Rattus norvegicus: one gene and its partners. The protein of the gene in region 1 purifies or fractionates together with the protein of each later gene. This does not show direct contact. Links are inferred from orthologs where the notes say so. Each region holds a gene or a part of one and is shown in the gene's direction. Other genes may lie near its edges. The genes, in order: Crebbp, Srebf2, Foxm1, Atxn3, Smarca4, Sp1 and Dyrk1a.

The links.
Region 2: the proteins of Crebbp (region 1) and Srebf2 purify together in Homo sapiens (affinity purification with western blotting; 3 studies listed by BioGRID and IntAct, with this or other methods). This does not show direct contact. The link is inferred for Rattus norvegicus from reciprocal best matches to the Homo sapiens genes CREBBP and SREBF2.
Region 3: the proteins of Crebbp (region 1) and Foxm1 purify together in Homo sapiens (affinity purification with western blotting; 5 studies listed by BioGRID, with this or other methods). This does not show direct contact. The link is inferred for Rattus norvegicus from reciprocal best matches to the Homo sapiens genes CREBBP and FOXM1.
Region 4: the proteins of Crebbp (region 1) and Atxn3 purify together in Homo sapiens (affinity purification with western blotting; 3 studies listed by BioGRID). This does not show direct contact. The link is inferred for Rattus norvegicus from reciprocal best matches to the Homo sapiens genes CREBBP and ATXN3.
Region 5: the proteins of Crebbp (region 1) and Smarca4 purify together in Homo sapiens (affinity purification with western blotting; 3 studies listed by BioGRID, with this or other methods). This does not show direct contact. The link is inferred for Rattus norvegicus from reciprocal best matches to the Homo sapiens genes CREBBP and SMARCA4.
Region 6: the proteins of Crebbp (region 1) and Sp1 purify together in Homo sapiens (affinity purification with western blotting; 5 studies listed by BioGRID, with this or other methods). This does not show direct contact. The link is inferred for Rattus norvegicus from reciprocal best matches to the Homo sapiens genes CREBBP and SP1.
Region 7: the proteins of Crebbp (region 1) and Dyrk1a purify together in Homo sapiens (affinity purification with mass spectrometry; 4 studies listed by BioGRID and IntAct, with this or other methods). This does not show direct contact. The link is inferred for Rattus norvegicus from reciprocal best matches to the Homo sapiens genes CREBBP and DYRK1A.

The regions. Positions count from the first base shown.
Region 1 is NC_086028.1:11,960,840-11,964,339, forward strand, and holds part of Crebbp (histone lysine acetyltransferase CREBBP), read left to right. Parts: intron 1-458; coding exon 459-620; intron 621-902; coding exon 903-1,184; intron 1,185-2,522; coding exon 2,523-3,500. UniProt on the Homo sapiens protein: Acetylates histones, giving a specific tag for transcriptional activation. Mediates acetylation of histone H3 at 'Lys-18' and 'Lys-27' (H3K18ac and H3K27ac, respectively).
Region 2 is NC_086025.1:115,541,807-115,546,106, forward strand, and holds the start of Srebf2 (sterol regulatory element-binding protein 2), read left to right. Parts: upstream 1-1,500; 5' UTR 1,501-1,640; coding exon 1,641-1,728; intron 1,729-4,300.
Region 3 is NC_086022.1:163,332,128-163,335,627, forward strand, and holds part of Foxm1 (forkhead box protein M1), read left to right. Parts: coding exon of another isoform or gene 1-21; intron 22-599; coding exon 600-728; intron 729-1,648; coding exon 1,649-1,693; intron 1,694-2,219; coding exon of another isoform or gene 2,220-2,222; coding exon 2,223-2,292; intron 2,293-2,462; coding exon 2,463-3,500. UniProt on the Homo sapiens protein: Transcription factor regulating the expression of cell cycle genes essential for DNA replication and mitosis. Plays a role in the control of cell proliferation. Also plays a role in DNA break repair, participating in the DNA damage checkpoint response.
Region 4 is NC_086024.1:126,869,982-126,874,103, reverse strand, and holds the start of Atxn3 (ataxin-3), read left to right. Parts: upstream 1-1,322; 5' UTR 1,323-1,427; coding exon 1,428-1,451; exon of another isoform or gene 1,452-1,567; intron 1,568-1,601; exon of another isoform or gene 1,602-2,073; intron 2,074-2,100; exon of another isoform or gene 2,101-2,904; intron 2,905-4,122. UniProt on the Homo sapiens protein: Deubiquitinating enzyme involved in protein homeostasis maintenance, transcription, cytoskeleton regulation, myogenesis and degradation of misfolded chaperone substrates.
Region 5 is NC_086026.1:28,442,319-28,446,618, forward strand, and holds the start of Smarca4 (transcription activator BRG1), read left to right. Parts: upstream 1-1,500; 5' UTR 1,501-1,794; intron 1,795-1,933; exon of another isoform or gene 1,934-2,099; intron 2,100-2,196; exon of another isoform or gene 2,197-4,300. UniProt on the Homo sapiens protein: ATPase involved in transcriptional activation and repression of select genes by chromatin remodeling (alteration of DNA-nucleosome topology).
Region 6 is NC_086025.1:135,444,050-135,447,531, forward strand, and holds part of Sp1 (transcription factor Sp1), read left to right. Parts: intron 1-365; coding exon 366-565; intron 566-831; coding exon 832-1,145; 3' UTR 1,146-3,482. UniProt on the Homo sapiens protein: Transcription factor that can activate or repress transcription in response to physiological and pathological stimuli.
Region 7 is NC_086029.1:47,451,802-47,455,301, forward strand, and holds part of Dyrk1a (dual specificity tyrosine-phosphorylation-regulated kinase 1A), read left to right. Parts: intron 1-665; coding exon 666-813; intron 814-3,500. UniProt on the Homo sapiens protein: Dual-specificity kinase which possesses both serine/threonine and tyrosine kinase activities. Exhibits a substrate preference for proline at position P+1 and arginine at position P-3.

The DNA.
Region 1 (3,500 bases):
GTCCCTTTTTGACCTCAGCTAAGTAGTAAAAGTAGTAGCAGTAGCTTGTAAGACAAGCTTACACATGTTCTACCCTAGTGGAGGTATTGAATAGGAAAGATCAGTTGGGTGTAGTTACTCTTTGGTGCTCCCATTTACACCATCCCATGTCTTCTGAAAATTCATATAAATGAGCAGGTTTTCCCAAAGCAAAGGACTGGGTACCGAACATGCAGGATGGAGCATAGCACTCCTGCCAGTGGAATCCTGGGAGTGGTAGAGAAACTCCTCTGTTGCTTAGATTGTGAATTAACATCCAGGAGAAGTAACCGGACATACAAGTGCCCTGGCCAGGCTGGGAGGATTTCATCCTTAGCCCTCTGGAGGTAGTAGCCTATGGCCCAGGTGCATATGAGGTCTGTGGAACCCCATAGCCGAGGAAATGGGTGTTAGTCTAATAGCTTTATATGTGGTTGCAGGGCAGTCAGGGTGACAGCAAGAATGCCAAGAAAAAGAACAACAAGAAGACCAACAAAAACAAAAGCAGCATTAGCCGCGCCAACAAGAAGAAGCCCAGCATGCCCAATGTTTCCAACGACCTGTCGCAGAAGCTGTATGCTACCATGGAGAAGCACAAGGAGGTAGTGCATAGGCTGGTGGGGGTTCTGAGGGTATTCAGTGCCCAGAGAAACAACAGGCACCTGCCTGCGAGGTTGAGCTTTTCTGTATAAGTCTGGGACAGGAGAAGGTGGAACAATACTTGTTAATATATTGTTTGGCTTGTTATCAGTTAAATTCCATCCCAGGAAACCAGAGCCTCAAGCAGTCCCTAGGTTTGGTTATCCTCCTGTTCCATAGGAAGATGTGGCCTTGCACTGGCACACACTGCTTCTCTGTGGGGATAATACAGCTCCTCCTTTCAGGTCTTCTTTGTGATCCACCTGCATGCTGGGCCTGTCATCAGCACTCAGCCCCCCATCGTGGACCCTGATCCCCTGCTTAGCTGTGACCTCATGGACGGGCGGGATGCCTTCCTCACCCTGGCCAGAGACAAGCACTGGGAGTTCTCTTCCTTACGCCGCTCCAAATGGTCCACTCTGTGCATGCTGGTGGAGCTGCACACACAGGGCCAGGACCGCTTTGTCTATACCTGCAACGAGTGCAAACACCATGTAGAAACACGCTGGCACTGCACTGTGTGTGAGGTAAGCCCTTCCACCTCTCTCCTGGCCTTCCTCCATATGCAACATTGTTCCCTGCAGCATCGGGAATGGATGCAGGTGTTGGCCTCTGTGACCTACATTGTCTGTGCTAACCCTCCCAGGGTGAGGAGTGGCACCCTTGTAATCCCTTTCTTAATCTCTGCTCTTGTCCACCACAGCTACAGGCTATATGCCGAGGCAGCCTGACTGGAAAGAGGCTATGCAAAACTTTAGCTCTACAGGGATTCTGGTGTATTTATCTCTTTCTAGCTTTGCTAAGTGATTAAGGATGCCTTTCACCCTGCTGACAGGTTGGCACTTTTGATTAGGTCCAATGGCAGGATCGCAGAATGTGGTTAGAAGACTTGATGTAAGCCACTGGCAGTTTCACTGCCTCCTGCCCTGTGGGTAGCTTGACTTCACCCTTGTAGAGCTTGTCTTGGACAGGTCAAAGGTTGCTTAGCCCTTCTTCTTTGCTTACCTTTTCAGTTCCTGCCCCCTGTTGTCATCGGCCATATCCCCTCTTATCCTTCTCTATTGTCCGTTTTATAGACAGATAGACTGGCAGGCAGGCAGACAGACAGACACGCACACGCACACGCACAAACACACCCACACCCCTACCCTCTCAATCCTCTTTCTGCTTTACTGATTTTAGGATTTTGTATGTGCTTTCTGTGAGCACAATTTCTAGGCCCAGCCATAGGACGTCATCTTCAAATGTGTATTCTGTGGGTGGGTGTGAGTGTGTTATTTGTAAGTAAACATATTTGTGTATATGAATACAGAGACCAGTGGAGAATTACTCTATAGCTCTTTACCTACCTCATTTCCTTAAGAAAAGAAATGCCACTGAATCTTGAGCTAGGCTGATTGACTGACCAGCGATCCCAGCAGTCCTCTTCGTTCCTCCTTGTCTTGTGCTGCCATTAAAGCTCACAGCCATACCCAGATTTTTGTTTGAATGCTGAGGATTGAGACTCAGGTCCTCTTCCCCACTGAACTATCTCCTAAGCTCCTATCCTTTGGATTTAATGCTTCCTTTTTAGTTTCTACGTTGAAGTATCTCTCAGCCACCAGGGCTTCTGTTGTTGAGGAAGGATCATTTTGATGATGCCTCTCTCCGAGGGATAGTGTCTCACAGTCCACTAACAGTGCTTGGGGGAAATGACCCTAGTGTTCTTAATCCTTGCTGTTAAGTCTAAAGCACATGAAATAAAGAAGGAAGGTAATCGTTAATAACTGGATCAATCATTAATTGGTCCTACAATATGCCCCATGCCTAAGGGTGTCTGCTCGTGCTGTGCCTGTGCTAATGCGGTTTGTTCCTCTTGTCCACAGGACTATGACCTTTGTATCAATTGCTACAACACAAAGAGCCACACCCATAAGATGGTGAAGTGGGGGCTAGGCCTAGATGATGAGGGCAGCAGTCAGGGTGAGCCACAGTCCAAGAGCCCCCAGGAATCCCGGCGTCTCAGCATCCAACGCTGCATCCAGTCCCTGGTGCATGCCTGCCAGTGTCGCAATGCCAACTGCTCGCTGCCATCTTGCCAGAAGATGAAGCGAGTCGTGCAGCACACCAAGGGCTGCAAGCGCAAGACTAATGGAGGCTGCCCAGTGTGTAAGCAGCTCATTGCTCTTTGCTGCTACCACGCCAAACACTGCCAAGAAAATAAATGCCCTGTGCCCTTCTGCCTCAACATCAAACACAAGCTCCGCCAGCAGCAGATCCAGCATCGCCTGCAGCAGGCTCAGCTCATGCGCCGGCGAATGGCAACCATGAACACCCGCAATGTGCCTCAGCAGAGTTTGCCTTCTCCTACCTCAGCACCACCCGGGACTCCTACACAGCAGCCCAGCACACCCCAAACACCACAGCCCCCAGCCCAGCCTCAGCCTTCACCTGTAAACATGTCACCAGCTGGCTTCCCCAGTGTAGCCCGGACTCAGCCCCCCACAATAGTGTCTGCTGGGAAGCCTACCAACCAGGTGCCAGCTCCCCCACCCCCTGCCCAGCCCCCACCTGCAGCAGTGGAAGCAGCCAGGCAAATTGAACGTGAGGCCCAGCAGCAGCAGCACCTGTACCGAGCAAACATCAACAATGGCATGCCCCCAGGGCGTGCAGGTATGGGGACCCCAGGAAGCCAGATGGCTCCTGTGGGCCTGAATGTGCCCCGTCCCAACCAAGTCAGTGGGCCTGTCATGTCTAGCATGCCACCTGGGCAGTGGCAGCAGGCACCCATCCCTCAGCAGCAGCCGATGCCAGGCATGCCCAGGCCTGTAATGTCCATGCAGGCCCAGGCAGCGGTGGCTGGG
Region 2 (4,300 bases), on another chromosome or scaffold:
TTTAAATGAATAGGTATTTTGACCTAGCTTCCCTTTTCTGGGCTTTTCTTGGACAATCAAACCCTCTGAACTTAAGTGTTGGTGGCATCTGCCCTGCTACCAACCAACAGCCATCATTAGTATGTTTTGGGTTGTTTCTTGTCCCCTATCAGAGATAGCTGCTTTCTCGTGTCTCCCCCAATAAATCTCTCATGTGAGGCTTGTTGTGCAGTGTGACTTGGTGGTATTCCTAGGCTCCTAACTACCAGGATGTCTTTCCCTTTCAGAGCAGCAACAGTGTAACTGGAGAAACCTTCACTCTGAGCTTAAACCCAGAAGTTAAGAGCTGTTTGCTTGCCACAGACATCAAATAAATGTGAAAGTTATAACTGTGGTCCTATGCTGTTTTGAAGATGACAAAACAGGCTTATCAACAAACAGTTGCTTAGCCAGCCCAGGAGCACAAGGTAGATTATTGAATCCGCAAGTTTCCCCACAGAGCCTGTGCTTTCTTTAGGTCTGACCCCTAAAACAACTGCCTCACGCACAGGAAGGTCTTCCTATTTTGTCATGAAAACCTTTTTTCCTGTCAATACACACTTAAGTCCTTTTTAAAATGCCCATTCCATCATTTTTTTTAATGATGCCCTGATATTCCACAGTTTGGAGGTAATTTGTGTACCTGATGCCTTACTGTGCTGCTGTTTTCCCGTTACAGAGAACTTTGTGATGAATACATGTACTTAACTTTACTAGCATTTCTTTGGACGCTAATCCTTGTTTCCTCGGATACATTCTGGGAAGTGTGCACCTTTGTGTCCAGTGTGACCGACACCTGTAAGATGTAGTGAGGTGACTGCAGGAGTGGGGTCTCACCTCAAGAGCCCATTGGTGGGCTTTGGCAAATGACCTCGTCTGAAGGCCTGGAGGTTTATGAGGTTTTCCAAGATTGAGGGCCAGTTGTAAAATGTTCACAACACTCAGGCGATTCAAGAACGTGTTAAGTCTCGGATGGGACAAGTGTGACTTAAGGTCTGGATAGTCTATCCCTGAATGTTGGGGTACCAAGATTCTACCCAGGGCTAGGGGGAGGGAAAGAGACAACTGGGGAGATGACGTAATGTGCTCGCAGAGTAAAGGGGGCGGTAGTAGGAGGTAGCGCTGGACAGCATTGTGTTTAACCCTTCTACTTCCGGACTCTTGGCAAAGTTGCTCCTGGAACTGATCCAACGGAAAAGTAGCGTCTCCTTTAAACCAGAGGAAGGCTGGGACGAGGACCGGGAGGCTACTCTCCGCTGGCGCTTGGAAGCCGTGAGGGGCGGAGTCTCGCTATGCAAATCTGAGCTGCTGATCGATGACGCGCCATCACCCCATGAGCCGCTTCGCGCTCCGATTGGCTAATGCAGGCCTGGTCCCATTGACAACAAACATGGGGGCGCGGAGGCTCGGGGCGGGGCTGCAGTGGGCGCGGCCCGGGGCGGGGGAATTCTGCCCCGCCCCTTCCGTGGAGTCGGGGCGCAGCTCAAACATGGCGGCGGTTGGCACCGGGCGGTGAGGCGGTACCAGGTGGGGGCTGTCGGGTGTCATGGGCGGTGGCGGCGGTACCGCCTCCGCGTCTCCCTGAGCTGGACCTCACGGGGGACTCTGCGCCGAACTGGGCGATGGATGAGAACAGCGAGCTGGGCGGTCTGGAGACCATGGAGACCCTCACGGAGCTGGGCGATGAGCTGACTCTCGGGGACATCGACGGTGAGTGGCGGCTGGGTGGGAGTGTGGGGGGCGCGCGGGGAGGAAGGGGTTACGGCGGCGCTCGCGGGTGCGCGTGCGCCCACCCCGCGATCGCCCACCCCGCGATCGCCCCGGCGTGCGCGGGAAGGAACCCGCGGACCGGGCTGCCGGTGAGGTTCCCAGTTCTTCTTGCTCCAGAGTCTGAGCCCGGGTCGTGACTCAGGGCTCCAGGTGGCTGAGGAGTCCTGGCGCCGCGGGGCCTGAAGCGGGGTTGGGGGCGTCGCGAATACTGCCAGAGAAGAAAGCGAGGCGGCCGCCTCCCTCGCGCGCCCACACGCTCTCTGGTTTGTCCGGTCTTCGCCGGCGTCCGGCGTCGCACCTGTCACTCCCTCCCTGGTCACTGGAGCGGCTTCGGGATTTCCCGGACTGCGCTCCGGGCTCGGCTCCCCACGCCCCCGCTCTTTTCGGGATTGACTGACAGCCGGGTCTCCTGGCGCTCTGGAAAACTTTGGGCATCAGCTGCAAAAGCAAGTTACTGATGGAGTGGACAGAGACCGCAGAGTGCGGCGGCCTTGCATGGAGACCCAGGCGCTCCTTCTGTCGCACTGCAAAGGGAGTTGAGCTGCAAGAATTTTGAGTTGTGGCCCCTCGGGTACTGACTAGGGAGCGGGTGGCCTTTGTTTCGGCGGCCTTAACAGCGAAGTGGAAGAACTGGTAGGAGCCCAGGGATCCTCTCTTACAATTCTCTCACTTTTCAGCCACGGGAAAGAAGGTTTGGAGAGGGTCCCAGACTTGCCCGCGGTCATCATGCTGCTTAACAAAACCCAGTTCTTTCTGTTTCTGAGCCAGTATTAGTTTCTTTCCACTCCACCTTTGAGAATTTGAAGTCCAAAGAACAGGCTAGTAATTCTCAGTAGTCGGGCTCTTCTGAAGTTCTCAGTCATTTATTCCTCCCACAATCCCACGGAATAGGTATCACTCAAATTTGCAGGAGGTATTGTCTAAGGTCACTTACTTTAGAGAGTCCAGAACTCCTCCTAAGCAATGACTCAGTTATGGAGTGTTTCTACATCTAGAATCTAGAACCTTGCAGGCATATATGATGGCTACATCCTCACTTTGCAGGTGAAGAAAGAGGTAGAAGGTTCTCTTGTGTAGGCAGAAAGTGACAACAGTTGTTTGAAGAAGGTGTTTGCTGTGTTCCTGTTTTGCTTTTGTAACATTTTTCCCACTTGGTTCGCCCTTACTTCTCATTTTGATCATCCAGTGTGACAAGACCCTGTAATTGAAGTTCCACTTTTTTTTTTTTCTTTTCTTTTCTTTTTTTAGGAGCTGGGGACCGAACCCAGGGCCTTGCGCTTGCTAGGCAAGCACTCTACCACTGAGCTAAATGCCCAACCCTGAAGTTCCACTTAACCACAGATTCTTCCACCAAGTATTGCTAAACACAAAGATAGGTTAACAAGTGGGAGGGGTTACTGCTTGGAACACGGGAGTGGCTAATGTGTTTTGAGCACTCAGGTACAAGACACAGTGTTAAGCACTCACACAGCTTTTCAATTCGTGTCACAGCCCTATCAGATAACGCTGTCAGACTGGCCATCTCCCCACTGTTCATTAGCTTACCCAGAGTTCCCTAGTCAGTAAGAAGTAGGTCTAAAACTGCCTACCAGCAGGGGCACAAGAAAAAAATTCATGTTGTTTTTTTTTTTGTACTTATATTTTATAATGACCTTTATTTGTCTAAATTTTCAACATATTAAATTACCTAGTGGTTAATATTAACCTTATAGATTGCTAAGTCTATGTATAAATAAAATGTATACTCTAGAAACCACAGCAGTAGGTCAGTAGTTTCTTAGGCCTCTGCCTAGTTTGGGAAGTGTTTACTTGCTCCAAGAGCCGGCTTTGGTATCTCAGTTGTAAAATATGGATGGCATTTTAGGACCACGTAAGGTTGCATGTGCACAGGGCAGTAAGTGAAAGTCAGTGAGGAAGCTTCCTTGAAGGCTAGTTTACCTGCAAGATCACACTGAGGAGATAGCCACTGACCTTAAAAGACAAGAAGAACCAGTTGAACAAAGCAAAGGCCAGCGGTCTAGATGGAAGTGTCGCTGAATCCTCTGTGCTCCTGAGCAGGTTACTGAGGGGTGGGGATGGAGGTGGGGCAAACCACCTTTCATTTCCTTCCCACAGTTCTTTGCACCTAGAACAGCACTTGGAACAGTGGGAATGCGCACTATTTGTGGAATGCCTGTCTGAGTACCTGGGGCAGGATATTAAATATTAGGTATAGTTTCCCTGATTGGATTAGAGCAGAGTGAGCAGCCCATGGGCATCTGAGATGAGGAAGAGAGTAGTATGAGTGCACTTTTGTAACTCACAGCCTAGAAATCTCACGGTTCCTTCAGGAGGTCAAAGAACTGTGAGTCCACAGCCAGCGGGGTCTCTTCTTGGTCAGAGAGCTAAAATTCTTGTTTCTTTTGACTAAAATAAATGATTAGGAATATAGTTCCATGGCAGGGCGCTTGCCTGGGGTTTGTAAAGTCCTGGGTTTGATACCTACTACTGCACAGACTATGCAAATGAGCAC
Region 3 (3,500 bases), on another chromosome or scaffold:
TACCACAAGCTCGGGCCACAGGTAGCAGCGCTTCTGCCATATTTGATCCTCAGATTGGCATGTTCTGTCTCTGAGATAGGATCTTGCTGGGTAACAGACTGGCTTTGAACTCTATCTTCCTGCTTCACCTTCCTGCGTTCCAGGCATATGGCATGCACCACTGTGTCCAGGCACACAGATGGCTTTTCCTGCTGCTGCTGCTGCTCTCGCACCTCTAGTGTTTCTCTGGGGACTGTGCAGTGGAGTCCTCTCCTCTCTCCTGATGCCGAAGGGCATGATGCACTTCTGAAAAACACAGGTTCTTGGCTGCCCAGCTTAGCCTGCCTCATTTTCCACACAGGTGATGAGGCAAGAGTTACAGGTGTTTGTTGTTCTGGCCACTGATTGGGGGGTAGGGGATGGGGGAGTTATGAATCTTTATCCGCTGAGGTTAGCTCTGCAGTGTGGCATACCAGGAAGGGAGTGCCAACAGGTGACATTGCTAGGACCTGAACACGATCTTTATTAAACATAGTGGGAGATACCCTGGCCTTTCCCAACTCCAAGAGCAATGTTTCCAAAGCCAACTGAATTGATAGCTGCTTATCTGTCGCTTTCAGAACTCTATTCGTCACAACCTTTCTCTCCATGACATGTTTGTTCGAGAAACATCTGCCAATGGCAAGGTCTCCTTCTGGACCATTCACCCAAGTGCTAATCGCTACTTGACATTGGACCAAGTGTTTAAGGTGAGTCCTTGTTTCATCTGGAGAGGCAGTTGGTGATTACTGCGCCTTCTGTAAAGGAGTGGTGTTCCTTCTGATGTTCTCTGACTGAGGGAGAGCTAGAAGCCAGTTACCCAGTTAATAACTTGCATGATTCCCTTAACCGAGGCCTGCTGACAGATACGAAGTGATACTCCTTGTACTAGACCAGAGAGTAAAGAAAACTGTTCTGGTCTAAATAGAGGAGTCTTTCTCTAATTCCCTGTAAGTAGACACTTGTTACAATGCAGCTTCCAGGTCTCTTGCTTGGGGTTCTGAACGGAGAATCTGGGACAGGTCTAGTAATTTGGTGTGGCAGAGCAGGGAGTCTATGTGCAAGTGCACAAACCAGGCATGTGTGGAGGCCAGAGGAAGACCTTGGGTGTCCTTCTCTATCACTCTGTGTCCTTCGGGTGACTCTCTTGTGGAACCTGGAGCTATACTGGGGTCAGCAAACCCCTTCAATCCGCCTATCTCCACCCCCACTCCTCATAGCCCTGGGGTTATAGATGCATGCAAGGCCAGCTCTGGCCTCTTTTTAATGTAGGTCCTGGGGTCTGAGCTGAGATCCTTTTGCTTGGTACAACAAGCTCTCTTCCCACTGACTCGTCTCTCCAGCTTTGTAGTTTGTATTTTCCACCTTGCTCCAAAGAAGCCCTTCTTTAAGTCTAGAGGCCAGAAATGGAGCCATAAGAACATGTTTTCAGAAAAAAAGTTGTTGTTTTGGGGACTTCTAGGTACCCATAAGGATGCTATTGCTGTACTGTTTGTTCTTCTGGAAGGGAATGTTTCTCCATGGTGTCCCTTGGCACCCATCAAATAGGTTTCTTCCTAGTCTGGGTAGATTGACCACAGTTGTGGTAACTTCATTTCATTTCTCTCCCTCAATGCCTGGCCGCCACCAGCCACTGGAACCAGGGTCTCCACAATCGCCCGAGCACTTGGAATCAGTAAGATTCTTTTCCTCTGGCTCGGGGCTTGGCCTTCTTTCCCTTCACTGCTCAGCATGGCTTTAGTGGGCAGAGAAGCTGTGACATGGGGAGGGGACTATGTTTGACCCTGTGGCTGCTAACCCTGAACACAGTACCACAAAGGTGTGCTGAGCAGAGCAAAGTGGGCACTGCAAGACCCACCATTGCAAGGGCAGATGCAAGGCATGGGCCCTGCCGCAGGGGCAGCAGCCTGTTCTCTCAGCGTACGTGGCTTGTGTTTGTCTCTCAGATGGCTAAGTGCATATTTCCCTGGGGGTGGTGAGTACCATGGGTCAGGTGTAGCACTGTCCTGCCCTCCCTCGTGTCTGCTGTTGTCCACCTTTCCCCTAAGCATGGCTTGATAGATGTACACCCGCATCCATCACTCAAACCAGCTGGTCTTTCTGGGTTTTTAGACCAGAAAGGTTTCTGCATCAGCTCAGGTTGGTGGGGTTCTGCTTCTCTCCTTACCTTACTAGTCCAGGTTTCTTTCTCTTCCAATAAGCAGCAGCAGAAACGACCCAATCCTGAGCTCCGTAGAAATGTGACCATCAAAACTGAACTCCCACTAGGCGCACGTGAGTATGAGAGTGGGTCTCAGACGCGCCCAATCCTGGTTCTGGGACCTATCTTCAGGTTATGTCTCCAACTCAAAGGGAGTTTGAGTCCATAGTTGAGTAGTGCTCCTGGAGTGGGAAGTAGTAGACCCCTAGCATTGCTACCTCTGATCTCTCCTGCTTCCTCCTAGGGCGAAAGATGAAGCCACTGCTCCCACGGGTTAGCTCATACCTGGTGCCCATCCAGTTCCCGGTGAACCAGTCCCTGGTGTTACAGCCCTCGGTGAAGGTTCCCTTGCCTCTGGCAGCATCTCTTATGAGCTCAGAGCTTGCCCGTCATAGCAAGCGAGTCCGCATTGCACCCAAGGTGCTGCTATCCAACGAAGGGATAGCCCCACTTCCTGCCACAGAACCCATGAAGGAGGAGAAACCCCTGCTTGGAGAAGGGCTATTGCCTTTGCTTCCTATTCAGTCCATTAAGGAAGAAGTAATTCAGCCTGGGGAGGACATACCACACTTAGAGAGGCCTATCAAAGTGGAGAGCCCTCCCTTGGAAGAGTGGCCCTCTCCGTGTGCATCAGTGAAAGAGGAACTGTCCAACTCCTGGGAAGATTCTTCCTGCTCTCCTACCCCAAAGCCCAAGAAGTCCTATTGTGGGCTTAAGTCCCCAACACGGTGTGTCTCAGAAATGCTGGTGACAAAGCGGAGAGAGAAGAGAGAGGTGAGCCGATCTCGGAGGAAGCAGCACCTTCAGCCACCCTGTCTAGATGAGCCTGAACTCTTCTTCTCAGAGGACTCCAGCACATTTCGGCCAGCCATGGAGATCCTGGCAGAGTCTTCAGAGCCTGCACCACAGCTCAGCTGCCCTCAGGAGGAGGGAGGGCCCTTCAAGACCCCCATCAAGGAGACATTGCCTGTCTCCTCCACTCCTAGCAAGTCTGTGCTCTCTAGAGACCCTGAGTCCTGGAGGCTCACACCCCCAGCCAAAGTTGGGGGGTTAGATTTCAGCCCAGTACGAACCCCCCAGGGTGCCTTTGGCCCTCTGCCTGACTCGCTGGGGCTTATGGAGCTGAATACCACACCTCTGAAAAGTGTTCCCCTCTTCGACTCACCCCGGGAGCTCCTTAACTCAGAAGCCTTTGACCTTGCCTCTGATCCCTTTAGCAGTTCTCCACCACCACATTTGGAAGCCAAGCCAGGCTCCCCCGAGCTGCAGGTCCCCAGCCTTT
Region 4 (4,122 bases), on another chromosome or scaffold:
CTTAACCTCATAGCCAGTTACCTTCTAAATTGCAATGAATCTCACCTCACAGCTCAAAACAGCTTCTGTAAACTCCAGGCCAGACATCTATTACTCACAAAAGTACCTTATGTTGCACAGACATTTAAACTCATTATTCCCCAAATTAAACCCTTGTCTTCCCTTCCCAAGACCCTGCTCATTCTGCACAGTATTTCTGGTTGGAGTATTACTCCTTCTTTAGGTGGTACCTACAGCAGACACCCACAAATCTTTCCTAACAATAACCCCTTTCACCCCAGTTCCTCACCAAAGTCTTCTGAGTCTGCTTCCTGAAACTTCAAATTGGTCTCTCTCCATTCTCAAATCACTACTGGAGTTCTGACCACCATTGTCTCCTCATTTCTCCCAAAATGCCTTTCAAGTATTCTGTTCCCCAGTGATCTTCTAAAATTCTAATTTGACCCCATGTCTCTAGTTTTGAAAATCTGTAACCTCCTGTAGGTTTTTTGTTTGTTTTGTTTTGTTTTTGGTTGGGAGGTGGCGGGCAGGATCGTCCTAGAAACCCTGGTTACAGGCTGCCACAGTCCAACACAACATACTCCTCCTACCTTCAGGTGCAAGGATTAGGAGAATGAGTCTTTGTACCCAGTTTCTTTGCTGACTTTGAAGAACCTAAAATGGTTCCACCACACAAGATCCGCGCCCAAATAACACTTAATCTTTGTCAATCCCTCCCCCACCCCCGGCGCGAGCCACTCAACATTTTACTGGACTTTTCACTTCCCCATCGACGCTTCCTCCTTCAGATATTGTACATTTATCCTGGGACCTGATACTCATTCCGACAGGCAACTGTGTTGGACACTGTGCTATTCTAATTTCTTAGTGCCTACATTTCTTCATTTGTATAATAATATTACAACATACACACACATCAAAAATGCCGCATTAAATCGCACTTAGAAGTGGACTATTATAAGTCAGCCCTAACTAAATACTAGCTATAGTTTTCACACAAATACTAGGTATTGGGAGAATGCCTTTTTTGGAATGAGGTTTTCAGTGGGAGAGGAGGTATTACACGTAGTTGAGCAGAAAGTACCAAAAAAGGTGGAAATGGAGAAAAAAAAAAGAACCTAAAACCTGGCTGCGAGGATTCTCATCTAGAACCCTAGAATCACAACATTGTCTAGCGTAGAGAAGTTCCTCCGCACAGCAGGCGGCGCCGCAGCATCACACACGCGGCGGGAGGACCAGCGCCGCCCAGGTCACGTGTCCCGTGCTCCCCGGCTCGCGTGCCGCGTGACGTGCGCCCGCAGTAGTGATTGGGTGGCGGGAGGCACGTGGGTAGGGCGGGGCGGGCCGGGGCGGAGGGGTGGGGCCGGGGGCGGAGCTGCTGGAGGGGGCTGCTCCGCGCCGGGGCCGTTGGCTCCAGACAAATAAACATGGAGTCCATCTTCCACGAGAAAGTGAGTGTGGGCGTTCGGTGGGGAGCCGTCCGCGGCTCGGCGGCGGGCGTGGGGAGCAGCGTCGCCGCTTCAGGAACTCAGGCGGGGCCCGAGCGCCCCCATCCCGACTTGGCTGGGTGAGGGGTGCTTCCTGCCTTCCCCCCATGGCACCGTTCATGAAGCCTCCCGCATGCGTCTCCGGCACCCTCACCCTAAAAGACCGGGCGGGTAACCTGGGCATTTCGGGGGGCTTCATCCGGAGGATTAGCGCGGGCGTTTCTTGTTCACTTGCCACGCCTTTTCGGGTTTCTTCTATCTTCTCTCCTGTGGTCTAGTCTAGCGAGACGCCTTTCCACACCTGACGGACCCTTCCCAACTCCACCCACTCCCCCTGACCTATCCTCTGGCAGAACCAACTTTCTCTCTCAACTCAGTTCTATGATGGAATGTCCCATGCATTTAGATCTTGGTGATCTATCCCACGTCCTTCTGCAGTTGTGACCGTGGCTCTCCCATTGAAGGGCCTGACACTTGGGAAGTAAAGTAGGAAATCCCGGAGGGAAGTCGTCATAAGAGTTTTTATTACGGGATGTTTGGGCTGCTCTCCCATTTTTCCGGACCAGGAGGCCAGCTTTGTTTTTAGGTATTATGGATAGATTAGAATCTTTCTACTGTGTGATTTGGCTAGTCTCTTCCTCACCTTAATTCCTAAGTGACTACGCTTTACAGTATTGTGACATCTCGAGAAACTGGTCTATGCTCGCATACAATTATCAAGTCATTTGGGTGTTCCTCGGACAACTTTGGCATGATTCCGTGTTTCATAATCATTTTAGGTTTGGAGAGGGTTGCTAGTTGAGACTATTATTACAGTTGGAGCAAAGGCCTTTGTTTTTATCATTTGTAAAGGAGCATTCATTCACAACGTTTAAAGTCCATGCACGACAAAAGAAAGACAAAAATGCTGTAAATCTAAGGAAGTTGTTAAATGAAAGTGTTCTTAAGAAGACCTTTCATAGTGTTTTTGGAACTGGAACAAGTTAGTTTGTGACAAGATTTCTTGTAGCCCAAGCTGGCCCCAAACTCTCCATCCTACTGTCTCTGCCTCCTGAGTGCTGGCTGGGATTATGACCATGTGCCCTGACTCTGAGTGCGCCACCCCCTCCCCCACTCTTTTGTAATTTTCCAAAGGCTTTGGGATAAAGTCCATTTTAAACATGTTATACTCTTTGGGATAAAATCCATTTTAAACATGTTATACTTTATACACTGTTTTGTGAGACTCCTGCCATGTATTCTTAAAAGAAAAATGCATGTGCTTGTGTGGAGGTCAAGGATGACTTGATAAAGTCTGTCCTCTCTTTCCAACTTGGTGTGGATTCCAGGTGTCTGAGGCTTTGGCAGCAAGCTCCTTTACTCTCTGGGTCATCTTTAGGGTGAATGAAGGAAGAAATGGAAAGGACATGACTTCTAGGTATGGTGAAGGAGAAAGTTTATTAAAGAGATGTGGGAGAGCATAGCCTGGGGCAGACACATTTGGGAGACCCCAGAGTTGTCATGACCCTGAACCACATGGGGAGAGGGAAAGGAAATACAGCAGCCAGGAGCCAAAGGTGCAGAAGTATACCAAAGAGGTTGGGTTACCAAAATACATGAATTACATAGGCAAGGACCACTAGGGGAAGGGCAGCTAGGCCATGGTCTGGAGAGTTCAGGGTAGAGAGTAGGTATACCAGCTATACCCTGGTATAAGTAGGGACTAAGGGATGCTGGGAGAACCTGGAGTTCAGGTCCGCTTTGATATGTTAAATAGGTACCTCTGCCACCTACCATCCTGGGATTGAAGCTCAGCATAGGGCTCTTAAACAATACACTAAAAAATATGTATTTTTTTGCTGGCAGGGGTGGTAGGCCTTTAACCTCACACTTGGAAGGTAGAGGCAGGGGAATCTCTAGTGAGTTCAAGGCCAGCCTAGTCTACAGAGAGAGTTTTAGAACAGCCAGCTCTATACAGAGAAACTGTCATGGAAAACAAACAAAAAAATTGTATTGGTGTTTACTGTTGTGTATGTCTGTGCACTGTGTGTCTGTTGCCCACTAAAGCCAGAAGATTCCCTGGAACTGGAGTAACAGGCTTGTGAGTAGCTGTGTGGGTGTTAGGAGTTGAACCGAGGTCATCTGGAAAGCCAGCCTGTACTCTTAACTGCTGAGCCACCTCTCCATCTCCCTCAATACCTTCTTTTTTTTTTTTTTTCTTTTTCTTTTTCTTTTTTCTTTTTTTTTTTGGAGCTGGGGACCGAACCAGGGCCATGCACTTGCTAGGCAAGCACTCTACCACTGAGCTAAATCCCCAACCCCCCTCAATACCTTCTTGACAATATTGATTGTTCCTCATTTGAGCAGATTTCAGTGAAGGTAACTACTGAATCAGTATATCCAAAATGCTAGGCTAACAAAGACTTACTCAGGCCAAGGATATGCCTCACCTGAATAGTGCTTGCTGTGTAAGCATGAAAACCAGAGTTCAGATCCCAGTGTGTGTTTGTATCCCCAGTACTTGAGGCAGGGAACCGAGCCAGGTGGGTTTCTGGTTGCTGACCAGCCAGTCTAGCTGAAATCAGTGAGTTCTAGGCTCAGTGAAAGACTATCTCACAAAATAAGGTGGAGCGCAACTGAGGAAGGCATTTGACTT
Region 5 (4,300 bases), on another chromosome or scaffold:
CAGACTTGGGGGGCAGAGGCAGGTAGGTCTCAGTTTGAGTTCATCCTGGTCTCAAGATCCAGTTCCAGGTCAGCCAAAGCAACACAGACAAACTCTGTCCTGAAAAACAAAAGCAAAAAACCCCCCCAACCAACCAAAAATACCATGTGTTTGCCAGTGTTGATAGCTTGGGTCTGTTTTCCTAGCATTTTGGAGGCAGTGGCAGGGGGATCACTGCCAGCTATTTAATGGCCTGAAACATTCTTTGTTCTACTTTGTGACAGAAAACTGCTTTTTGTTTCTTTGTTTAAAAGTCTCACTTTGTATCCATGGCTGCCCTGAAACCTTACTATGTAGAAGACCAAGCTGGATTGGTACATTCATGCAGCACTCAGGAAGGAAGAAGGAAGATCTCTGAGTTCGAGGCCAGTCTAGTCTTGAGAGCAAGTGCCAGGTCTTAAAGAAACTTGGTCTTGGGGGCTGGAGAGATGGCTCAGTGGTTAAGAGCCCCGACTGCTCTTCCAGAGGTCCTGAGTTCAATTCCCAGCAACCACATGGTGCCTCACAACCATCTGTAAAGAGATCCGATGCCCTCTTCTGGTGTATCTGAAGACAGCTACAGTGTACTTATACATAATAAATGAATAAATCTTAAACAAACAAACAAACAAACAAAACCCCCCAGAGATCCACCTGCTTCTGCCTCCAGAACCCTGCCCCGCTACCACCAAATACTTTTTTTTCTTTTTTTTTTTTTGGAGCTGGGGACCGAACCCAGGACCTAGCAAGCGCTCTACCACTGAGCTAAATCCCCAACCACCACCAAATACTTTTAAAACCAACCAGAGGCCTGGAATCTCCACATTTGGACAGAATTATACGCTCATTTCTCCAAAGCTAATGGCTTTCTTCGAAATCATAAGGAAAATTGTGACCATTGCTGTTTCTACCTCACACCCTGTGCTTTTACTTATTCATCTGGTTTATGAACCAGAGGATGGCTAGTAGCCGATGGCAGCTCAATAAATATTTGGAAAGCTAATTACTGGGCCTCAACAGGTTCTGCAGGAAATGTGGCCAGGACAGAGCCTTGCAGAGCAGGCAGGGCCGTGCCAGAGCCAGGATCAAAGCGTTTCCCAGGCCTGCCCTTACCCCCGCGTGGGTTCTGTCCCGTCCTTGGGCAGTCTGGCCACCTCTCGGCTTCACTTTCCTCCCAGGGTGCTCATTTCCGAGCCTAAGAACTTCCCTTTCATCATTACTATCTCCCATCTGGACGACCCAGTACCCTCCCCCAACATCTAAGCGTCGCCGCAGTGCCGCCACCTCTGCGCATGCCCTTCGGCTTGAGGCCCAATTTCGTGTCTTGAACATAAGTGTGCGCTTGCGCAGAGCCGCCCAGAGCCCCCCAATATGGGCGGTGCACCAGGATCTCGTGCGGCCTCTGGACCCGCCCATCTTCTCACTACCTCAAAGGACCAGTGCGCATGCGCACAACGAATGGCTGAGCATGCGCACAGAGAGCGGAAGGGTGGGCTGGCGCGCGCACGAGGCCGGACGGGCAGCGGAAGCAGGGGAAGTGGACTGGGTAGAAAGGGAGGCGGGGGCGCGCATAGCGGGCGCGCGGGCTGCGTGTGTGCTGGGGGGGGCGGCCAGCCGAAGCCGAGCGGGCACGCGCGCGAGGCTTTCCCACTAGCTTGGCAGCGGCGGCGACGGCTTCTTTGTTTCGTGAGGAGAAGCGAGACGCCCACTCTGTCCCCGACCCCTCGTGGAGGGTTGGGGGCGGCGCCAGGAAGGTTACGGCGCCGGTACCTCCAGGTAAGGAATGGAGACTCCCGGGCGGAACGAGACTCCCGGGGCTTGGGGAAGACGGTTTGAATGAAGCCGAGGCGCCGGGAGGGGGAGGGGGCAGCTGGGCGACCAGAGCGGGGTCGGGGTACGGCGGCGCCTGAGGGTCAAGAAGCCTTGCGCGCGCTGCTCAGGCCGCAGTGCAGCGAGACCGCGGCTGCTTCCAGGCTCTGTGGCCGGCGAGGCGGGTGACTCTGGCCTGTGTGAAGGCCGCGCGCGCGTTCTCGTGGGGTCTTGGGACAAAGCTCCTTCCTTTTGGCGTTCCAGAGATCCAGGTCCCCCCCACTTTAATTTCTGTGAATCTTAACTTTGAACAGTGGCTAGGTGTCTTGGGCTTCTCTGGCCTCGTTTGTGCGATTCTAATGCCCTGTGGTCGGGCGTCGGGAGCAACATTTTACCTCAGATATTGATGCCCTGTGTAGCTTGGGCACAGTCATGAGCCCTCTTCGGTCCTCAGACCTCACTTTTTTTTTTTTTTTACTTTTTGATAAATTTCATTATTGCAGATTTTAAATTTCTTCCGTGGCTTCAAAATGTTTGCCTAAAAAGTGAAAGATGCCTGGGAACGTTTGCTCACGGCCGCATTGTTTTTCTTTTGAGTCTCTTGGCTCTTCCCAGTTTTTCAGATAGGGCTTTTTATTTTAAAACCTCGAAGGCAATTGTTTTGTGCGGGTCGGAGGGGCATCTTCTTGATCCTCTTTACCTCCAGTGACTCCTCAGGAACTGGAAACAAATTTTTTGTTTGAATTGACAGACAGGCTTTGAGTTTGATGCCCAGCGTTGTCTGTCAGCTAGCTGTGTGGCCTTAGGCGAAATCGCTAAATCTCTCCAAACCTCTTGGTTTCCTCCTTTGTACAAGGGAATCACTTTCACTGATAGGATTGGGAAAAAATAGCTCCTGCATCATCATCATCATTCTGATTTTGAAGACAGGATCTTATAACCAAGGCTGCCCTCCACCTTCTTATGTAGACCAGGCTGGGCTTGAATTGCTCATCCTCATCTTCCTGCCTCCATCCACCTCCCAAGTGCTGGGATAGCATATTCAGCCAGGCTTCCTGTACTGTTATTGACTGGTCCAGCAGATAGTTGAATTCCTACTTTGTGTTACATGTCTTAGTAGGGGAATGGGCTGTAATGGAACCATTACTCCTTGGCCTGCATGAGTATTGGTTCATAAAGAAGTACTTGGTTTGTTTTGACCTCCTCCCCTCCCCCTTTCTGGTCTCACTGTGTAGCTTTGGTTGTCCTGAAACTCTGTTATCAGGCTGGCCTCAAACTCACACAGCTCTGCCTGCCTCTGCCCTCTGAGTGCTGGGATTAAACTCTTGCTTAGCCATGCCGTTGGGCCCATTTGTGTTTTGTTTTGTTTTTTAATTAAATAGATTTTATTTGTTTATTTTATGAGTCAGGGTTTCTCTGTGTAGCCCTGACTCTCCTGGTACTTGCTTTGTAGACCAGGCTGGCTTCTAGCTGAACTCAGAGATCTCTCTGCCTCTGCCTCCGCCTCCGGGAGTGCTGGGATTCATTAAAGTGTTGCAGTTCCTTATTTATTTGTGTGTGGAGGTCAGAGAACAACTTTCAGGGGTCAGTTCTCCCCTCTATCATGTGGGTTCCTGGGATTGAACTCAGGTGGTCAGTTTTCTGTGGGGTACTTTACCTGTTGATTCGTTTCTCCTGCCTAAGCTCTAAGTGTGTTGAATTTTTGTGGTGCTGATCAAAGTTGATCCTGTACATGCTAGGGAAATGTTCTACCACAAGCCAGTACCCAAGCATGGTTTTGATCTTTTTATTTTTATGAATGTGGGATATTTTTGTTGTTGTTTGTTCATTTTGGGTGTTGTTGGGCCTGGAATCCATGGCCTTCTGCATGTTAGACATGATATATTCTCCCCAATCATTTAGCCTCACAACCTATCATGTGACAGGACAGAGTGGTTGCCTGAGGGAGCAGTGGTGGGCATAAGTCTAGAAGCTGCATGGAGGAGGACCCTTCATTTACAATTAGGGAAGATGTGTCTCCCCACCCCACACGCTGAGAATGGAATGGTGCCTGCAGAACTGTTGCTCTGTCTGTCTGGTCTGCAACAGTGCAGTTGGAGCAGGCAGTAGTGAGACAGGACAGGAGGGTCCTGGGGAGGATGAACTTGGGCGATTGGTACAAGATCCAAAGCAATAAATATTTGTTGCTGCTGTTTGGCCTTGAACTTTCCAGGCCATTGCTCTTCTAGCCCCAGATGTCACTGCTTTGAAAGTGATGAAGTCACTGGTGAAGTCTGGGGTCCTGGTTTGGTGGTTTGTTTGTGGCTGGATGTGAAAGGTGGTTTTTTTTTTTTTTTTTTTTTTTTGAACTTAAAAATTTTTGTTTAATTTTGTGTGATATATGGAGGTCAGAGGACAACTTTCAGGAGTGGATTTTCTCCTACCACGTGTGTCCTGGAGATTGAATTGCAGGTCATCATATTGGTAGCAGATG
Region 6 (3,482 bases), on another chromosome or scaffold:
GTAAGTCTTAGTGACAGGTATGACAGCACACACACCTTTAATCCTACCTAGCATTATGCAAGCAGAGGCAGGTGAATCTCTAAGTTCCAGGACAGCCTGGTGTACACAGAGAGACTCTTTCTCAAAGACAAACAAGCAGAGGCTGGAGAGATGGCTCAGTGGTTAAGAGCACTGGCTGCTCTTTCAGAGGTCCTGAGTTCAATTCCCAGCAACCACATGGTGGCTCACAACCATCTGTAATGGGATCTGATGCCCTCTTCTGGTGTGTCTGAAGACAGCCACAGTGTACTTATTTCAATCTTTACACTTCTTGGTTCCTTCATTTCTATCTCCAGAGTAATAAATCATTATGTTCTCATTCTTAGGGGCTCTGGAGATCCTGGCAAAAAGAAACAGCACATTTGTCATATCCAAGGATGCGGCAAAGTATATGGCAAAACCTCACATCTCCGTGCACACTTGCGCTGGCATACAGGGGAGAGGCCATTCATGTGTAATTGGTCATACTGTGGGAAGCGCTTTACTCGTTCGGATGAGCTTCAGAGACATAAACGTACACATACAGGTGAGTAAGACCCGAGGGAAAAGGGAAAGCAATAGATAAGAAAAGATGTAATATGCCCATGAAGCTAACTGAAATCCCTGAACAACGTATATGTGAAACTGAATATGTCCCCAAGAATATTTGAAGTAGTCTGGAAGGTTTTTAATAAGGAGCTCAGTTTCAAGAGGGATTTTGAAAGACATACATCAACCTCAACTTTGTTTTGGCTGGGTTTTTTTTTTTTTTTTTGGCTAAGTTATCTTTTTTCTTTTTTTCTTTAAATCTAGGAGAGAAGAAATTTGCCTGCCCTGAGTGCCCTAAGCGTTTCATGAGGAGCGATCATCTGTCAAAGCATATCAAGACCCACCAGAACAAAAAGGGAGGCCCAGGTGTAGCCTTGAGCGTGGGCACATTGCCCCTGGACAGTGGGGCAGGTTCAGAAGGCAGTGGCACTGCCACTCCTTCAGCCCTTATTACCACCAATATGGTAGCCATGGAGGCCATCTGTCCAGAGGGTATTGCCCGTCTTGCCAACAGTGGCATCAACGTCATGCAGGTGACAGAGCTGCAGTCCATTAATATCAGTGGCAATGGTTTCTGAGATTAGACGCCCAGGGCCAGAGACATATGGGCCAATACCCACCAAGCCTGGGATGCAAGGTAGCATGGGTCCAAGAGACATGTGGAAGAGAGAGCCATGAGGCATTCATGTGCTTGGTGATAGGAAGAATTGGGAGATGGTACAAAAGAAGAGATGGGATCGTGGCACCCATCTATGTCACTGGTGACTCCTTGAAAATGGAGAATATTAGTGAAAATTCTGTTGGTGCCACTTTTTGATCAGCATTTATCTCATCCCAGGTTCTTCTTACCCTTCTTACCCAGCCTCCTCTTCCTGTTTTTCCCTCTTAGCTCTCCCATGATGGATCCCCCCCTTTCCTAAAGCCATCATGCCTTGATAAATATATATGATCATTGAAATACTTTTTAACAAAAACAGATTCTATATTATATATATATATATTAAAAAATATATAGAGATGCTTTCACAGGGGCTGGCTGGGAGGAGGAAAAAGACCATTCTGTGACCAAAATACCTTGGTCTTTTTTTCTTTTTCTTTTTTTTTATATTGCCTTATTTCTCAATGGCTGAGCCTTATCATGACACATCAAGCTTTCCTATAAATGTTGTCCTGGCATCCCACCAGAGTAAGCATTCATACGCTCTGCTTCAGTTCATATATACATATATAATGTGTCTTCTTCCTTAATTTTGTTACTTTATTTGGGATCAGCTCCTTGCACTCTTTCCTGACTCAGTCCTTTTTGTCTCACACCCTTTTCTTACATGATCATTTCCTGTGTTGTTTTTGACAGTGATCCCTGGATTAGGCACTTCTGTTAATATTTTAAAGACGTTAGTTCCAGCAACGGAGTGGAAAAGCCTTGAAGTGTAGCTATGGAGGGAGTGTTCAAATACTACTGACGCAGGCACATTAGTGCTGGAGAGTCAAAGCCATCTCCCTTTATTAGTTGTTCTACACATCAAAAGTCAGAAGTATTTCTGTGGAATTGTGTAAGAGGCCCTTTGAAGGAGATACACTGTCAAAATGCTCAAATATAGGCAGCAGCTTTCAGTATGAAAAAGATGTTCTCAGAAAAGGAAATAACTCAATAGTCTTGGGTTCAGAAGTTAGTGGAATTATTCGGATTTCAGTATCATTGTCTTCCAGATAACTCTCAGCCTCACAGAATGGCCTTCTGAGTTCACACTCTGAAAGGAAGTACACTTCCTCTTTTGAACATTTCTGTAGTTCCTTCGTATTAATGTTTTAATGTTTAGGAGCATCAGCCAGGGAATCTGTTTGGACTTTCCATTCTGTAGAGTGCAAAACTTGTGCCAGTGGCAAAAGTGGTTCTTTTAAAAAAAAAAAAAAAGTCCCCCTTAACTCTTCCTTACATGTACTTGGGTGGTTCCTAAGGGAAAGGGAAGCACACAATCATGGGAACGATAGCCCAGAACAAAAAGAAATCTTGTCTTACCACTGTGGATTTTAGGAGAAATTGGGAGAAATTATCCTGCTTTCTCTATGGCCTGATTCCAGAAGAGACTGATCCAAAAATTATATCGGCAGGGAAACTCAGTGCATTTTACACTGAGACTTAAATGCAACCAGAATTGTCCTCAAGGCCCAGCCATTAAAGCATTGTCTCTCTTGACTTTCTGCTATCTTGTCAGAGAGCTTTTCACTGTGAGGAAGTATGAAAGTGGTTGAGTGTATGTGTGGAATCTATTAGGTTGGGGATAGGTTTTCTGTTAGCCAATATTTAAAGAGACCTGCAATAAAAAATTACCCTGATCTGATAGAGAATCTAAAATGTTTGTGTATGACTGCGTGTGAATGTGTTTGTGCCTGTATATATCTACATGCAGATGAGAACTTATATTTGAAATTGTTGGAAAATAAATTCAGATCGAAATGCCTTTCAGGTCCATTATCTAGAAATTGGTCATAAAACTTGGGTATGTTCCTAAGGTCAGTTCTCTGCTTGTGTTAAATTGGTTAACAATTATGGGGTGGGGGGATATCCTAGTGCACTTTCTAAAAAAAGAAACTATTTTTGTGTTTGAAAATGAAATCAACATCCAAATCTATAGTGGATTCCTTATTCTAACTTCTTTATCTTGGCTACAAATAGCTTATAGTGTTATTATACATGTTACGTAAATTCCATCTAAACTAGGTTCTTGTTAAGTTTACGGTGTTGTTAGCCTGAAATACTAACATTAGTTTATTCCATTTGGTCCTTTCTGTGCAGACTTAATACTGTTATCAAGACTCAGGAAATATTTCAAGGGACTTTCCCCAAATCACATGTTATTAATGTTGAAGTAAACGTTACCTGTCCTTAGCCATCATCACACCTTTTGTTCCTA
Region 7 (3,500 bases), on another chromosome or scaffold:
TTTAAAATTAGGAAATAATCTGCTTTCTGAGAAGCATCAGAACCCTTTTTTTTATTCTTAGGACTAAATAAAAAATTTTTTACATTAAAAAATAGTTGAGCTAGAAGTGGCAGTACTACTTTTAAACCCGGAACTAGAGAGACAAAGGCAGAAAGATATGAGACTTTGACTCCAGCCTGGTCTATATACTGAGTTCTAGGGCGTCCAGGGTCATACAGTGAGACTCTGTCTCAATAATAAAAATAAAAAACCCCAATAGTTGAGTAAGTTGTTTTATTTAAAAAGTAAAAGTGTGTGTATGTGTGTAAAAAGCACATATACAGACATACATTACACAGATGCATACACATATACATGCATATACACATTACCTATACACACATATGTTGATTTAAGTAAGAAAGAGTGAAAGTCAAACTTCCCCTTCATCAGCAGTCATTTTATTTTTGAGGGAAGAAAGCGGTTGCCATCTCGTTGTTCTGTGCATGGTCAGAAACACTGTGAGGAGGGTACAGGAGCTCGTTTCAAAGAATGGGGTTAGGACCTTGTGACAAAGTAGATGGTCTCTTGAGGAGAAGCAGCAAGAGTGAGGTAGATTGCAGGATGGAAGAATGTAAGGTGTAAAGTTGTTAGTGAAACTGATGATGACTTGTTTTGTTTTGTAGGTTGTGAAAGCATATGACAGAGTGGAACAAGAATGGGTCGCCATTAAAATCATCAAGAACAAGAAGGCGTTTCTGAATCAAGCGCAGATAGAAGTGCGGCTGCTTGAGCTCATGAACAAACATGACACTGAGATGAAGTACTACATAGGTAAAGGCGGGCAGTGAGTGGGCCTCTGGGGTGCTTTACAGTGTGAAGCCACAGACAGCAGTGTCTGCTGTGTTGGTTGTTTCCTAAGTCACAACTCACAGGTGCCATTGTTTGCTCTAATGTGTCTGTTTAGGGAGCCGCTGTCGGGTGACTTGGTAGTGTACTGTGAGTGCCTAAGACTTTTTAGAACATATGTCTGAACTGCGATCCTCCCAGACTTAGTGAGAAGTGGATTCTTGTAGCATAGGGAGCACGTCACAGCATAGTCCCCCTATCGCCCCTGAGCTTTTCCTCTGGCCTCCCCACAGGAAGGTGACTTCAGCCTTCAGTCAGAGAAAACCTCCTTTCAGTCGTAAGCATGGATGGTCTTGGGGCACTCTGTCTGGGTCTGACCCTGCTCCTGTGCAGTCCTGTCTCAGTGTGTATGCCAGTGTCATGCCGTCTCCCACAGGAAACAGCTGTCCGCCAAGGAATGAAGACTGGAAACTTTAGAGCCAATCGGTTTATGGATAAAACATCTTCTAATTCTATCCTTCATACTTTTTAAAGATTTATTTCTGTGTGTGTACATACACCTGTGTACAAATGTCTTCAGAGGCTGAAGGCATCCAGTCCCTTGAGCTGAAGTTGTAGAGAGGTTCTTGGACTCAAACCCTCGGGTGCTGTGGGAGAAAAACATTCACTGTCACCTACTGAGCCATCTCATCTCTCCATCCCACAGCTGTTGGGTTTTAAAAATCAAATCTATTATATCAGTGCTGATAAAACACTATTGTTTTATTCACTAGTAAGAAAAACTGCCACCAAGTTTACAGTACTTATGTGACATAGCTCACAGCTGCATGTGACTCGGCTCTGGAGGGTTCGATGCCTTCTTGCCTCCACAGTTACCTGCACTTTCTCTCTCTCTCTCTCTCTCTCTCTCTCTCTCTCTCTCTCTCTCTCTCTCTCACACACACACACACACACACACACACACACACACACACACACACACTCTAGAACATCTAAACTGTCAGTGTCTTCTGCTGTCTGATGGAGAATGGGCTGTCAGCAGAGCTGATGACCTGTAGGCACGGGCAGCACCATGTGTGCTTTCAGAAGTTTTTTTCTTTCTTTCTTTCTTTTTTTTTTCTGGAGCTGAGGACTGAACCCAGGGCCTTGAGCTTGCTAGGCAAGTGCTCTACCACTGAGCTAAATCCCCAACCCCACAAGGATTCTTTCTTATTTATAGATTAGGGCATTGTTGAGAAGTGTGTGTGGACTGCCTGTTAGGCTGACATTATGGGCTGTTTCATCATGTAAATTTATATCTTTGCCTCCCTTTTATAATAGTGATACCTAAACTAATGACTTCCATTGTTCCCAAAGTTTAGTTTCATTGTACTGTCGTAATCACTTCCAAATAGTGTAAATGAATAAAAACTGCACTACACACAAATGCATTGTTTCCATAGCAGATGTTGAAGGGCCCAATTTACCACAAATTTTGTGGCCATTTTAATAATTAGCTGCTGTAATAGATCACTGAGCATTGTTAATACTGAGTGCAGAGCATGTCGTAACCACATTGAAGCTGATAAGTAAGGCTCTAGTGGAAAGTGCAGTGTCATAGGCAAAACTGGGTTTCAAGTAATGGGCATCATTAAAAGAAGCCATTAGACTCATGGTTTCGTCCACGGCTTTGTGCTCCCAGGCCTATGTGACTGAGCTTCAGACACTTTACGCTGTGTCATTGGTGGGTTTCCGCATCCCTGACCGGGAAGGAGCTTGAGCCATTCCTCTTTGCCTCTCTGGTGTCCTCCCTGACAACTGTGGGGACCATCCTGATGATACTGGATGTGTCTGAAAAGCTTTCCTCATCACACGGGCGGTCTCATTTAGTGTAGAGCAAGCCCAGTTCTGTTGAAGGGGCTTCAAAGGACGCCTGAGTTTATAGTGGTCTTTGGACACACCTCCTCGCCTTCCTATGCTGTGCCTTCTGTTTTGAGTGTTCATGTTCCCTTATGTCCCTGGATATGGGAAATTCATAGTGACGCAGAACAAAACTGAGGGCTCTGTTTTGGATGGCACCAGCAACAGAAGTACTTTAGACACAGAAGTGTTGCTTGACCTGTACTCTAAATTTAAGATTCCTTTTTTGATGGTACAATTTTTAATTTTAAGACAGTTGGTAGATAAAATATATTGTGGTGACCTTGAGATTTAACTTTTAAAAAGCACCTGCCATAGAGTGTAACTTATTTTAGGTGGCACAAAAAGTTGTACAAACTACATTTTATTTAACTCCTGTTTATTTGTATATTAATGAATGTGTGCCTGCCTTGAGGCTCAGGCTGGGGTGAAGGTTCATGGTGTGTTCGTGATTGCGTTTATGGTCATCGTACCAGGGGGTGTCAGAGCTCAGTTCCTTCTTGTCTTAATTGAAATCTGTGAGTCTTTCCTCTCCTTCCCTTACACTCATTTCTTCAGAGAATATTTTCTGGAATATTTAATGACAGTGGTCCATTTAAAAGTTTCATTTCATTTATTGGGAAAATATCCTACCAACTCTTCATGTTTTTCATGTCCAGTCAAAAAGATGAACAGATATATCTGTGTTTGAGTTTTCTTGGATGTTTTTCCTGCTAGTACAGCACAGCCTCTCAGTAAATGAGTGGCTCACATGAATAGAGGATCTCTGTCAG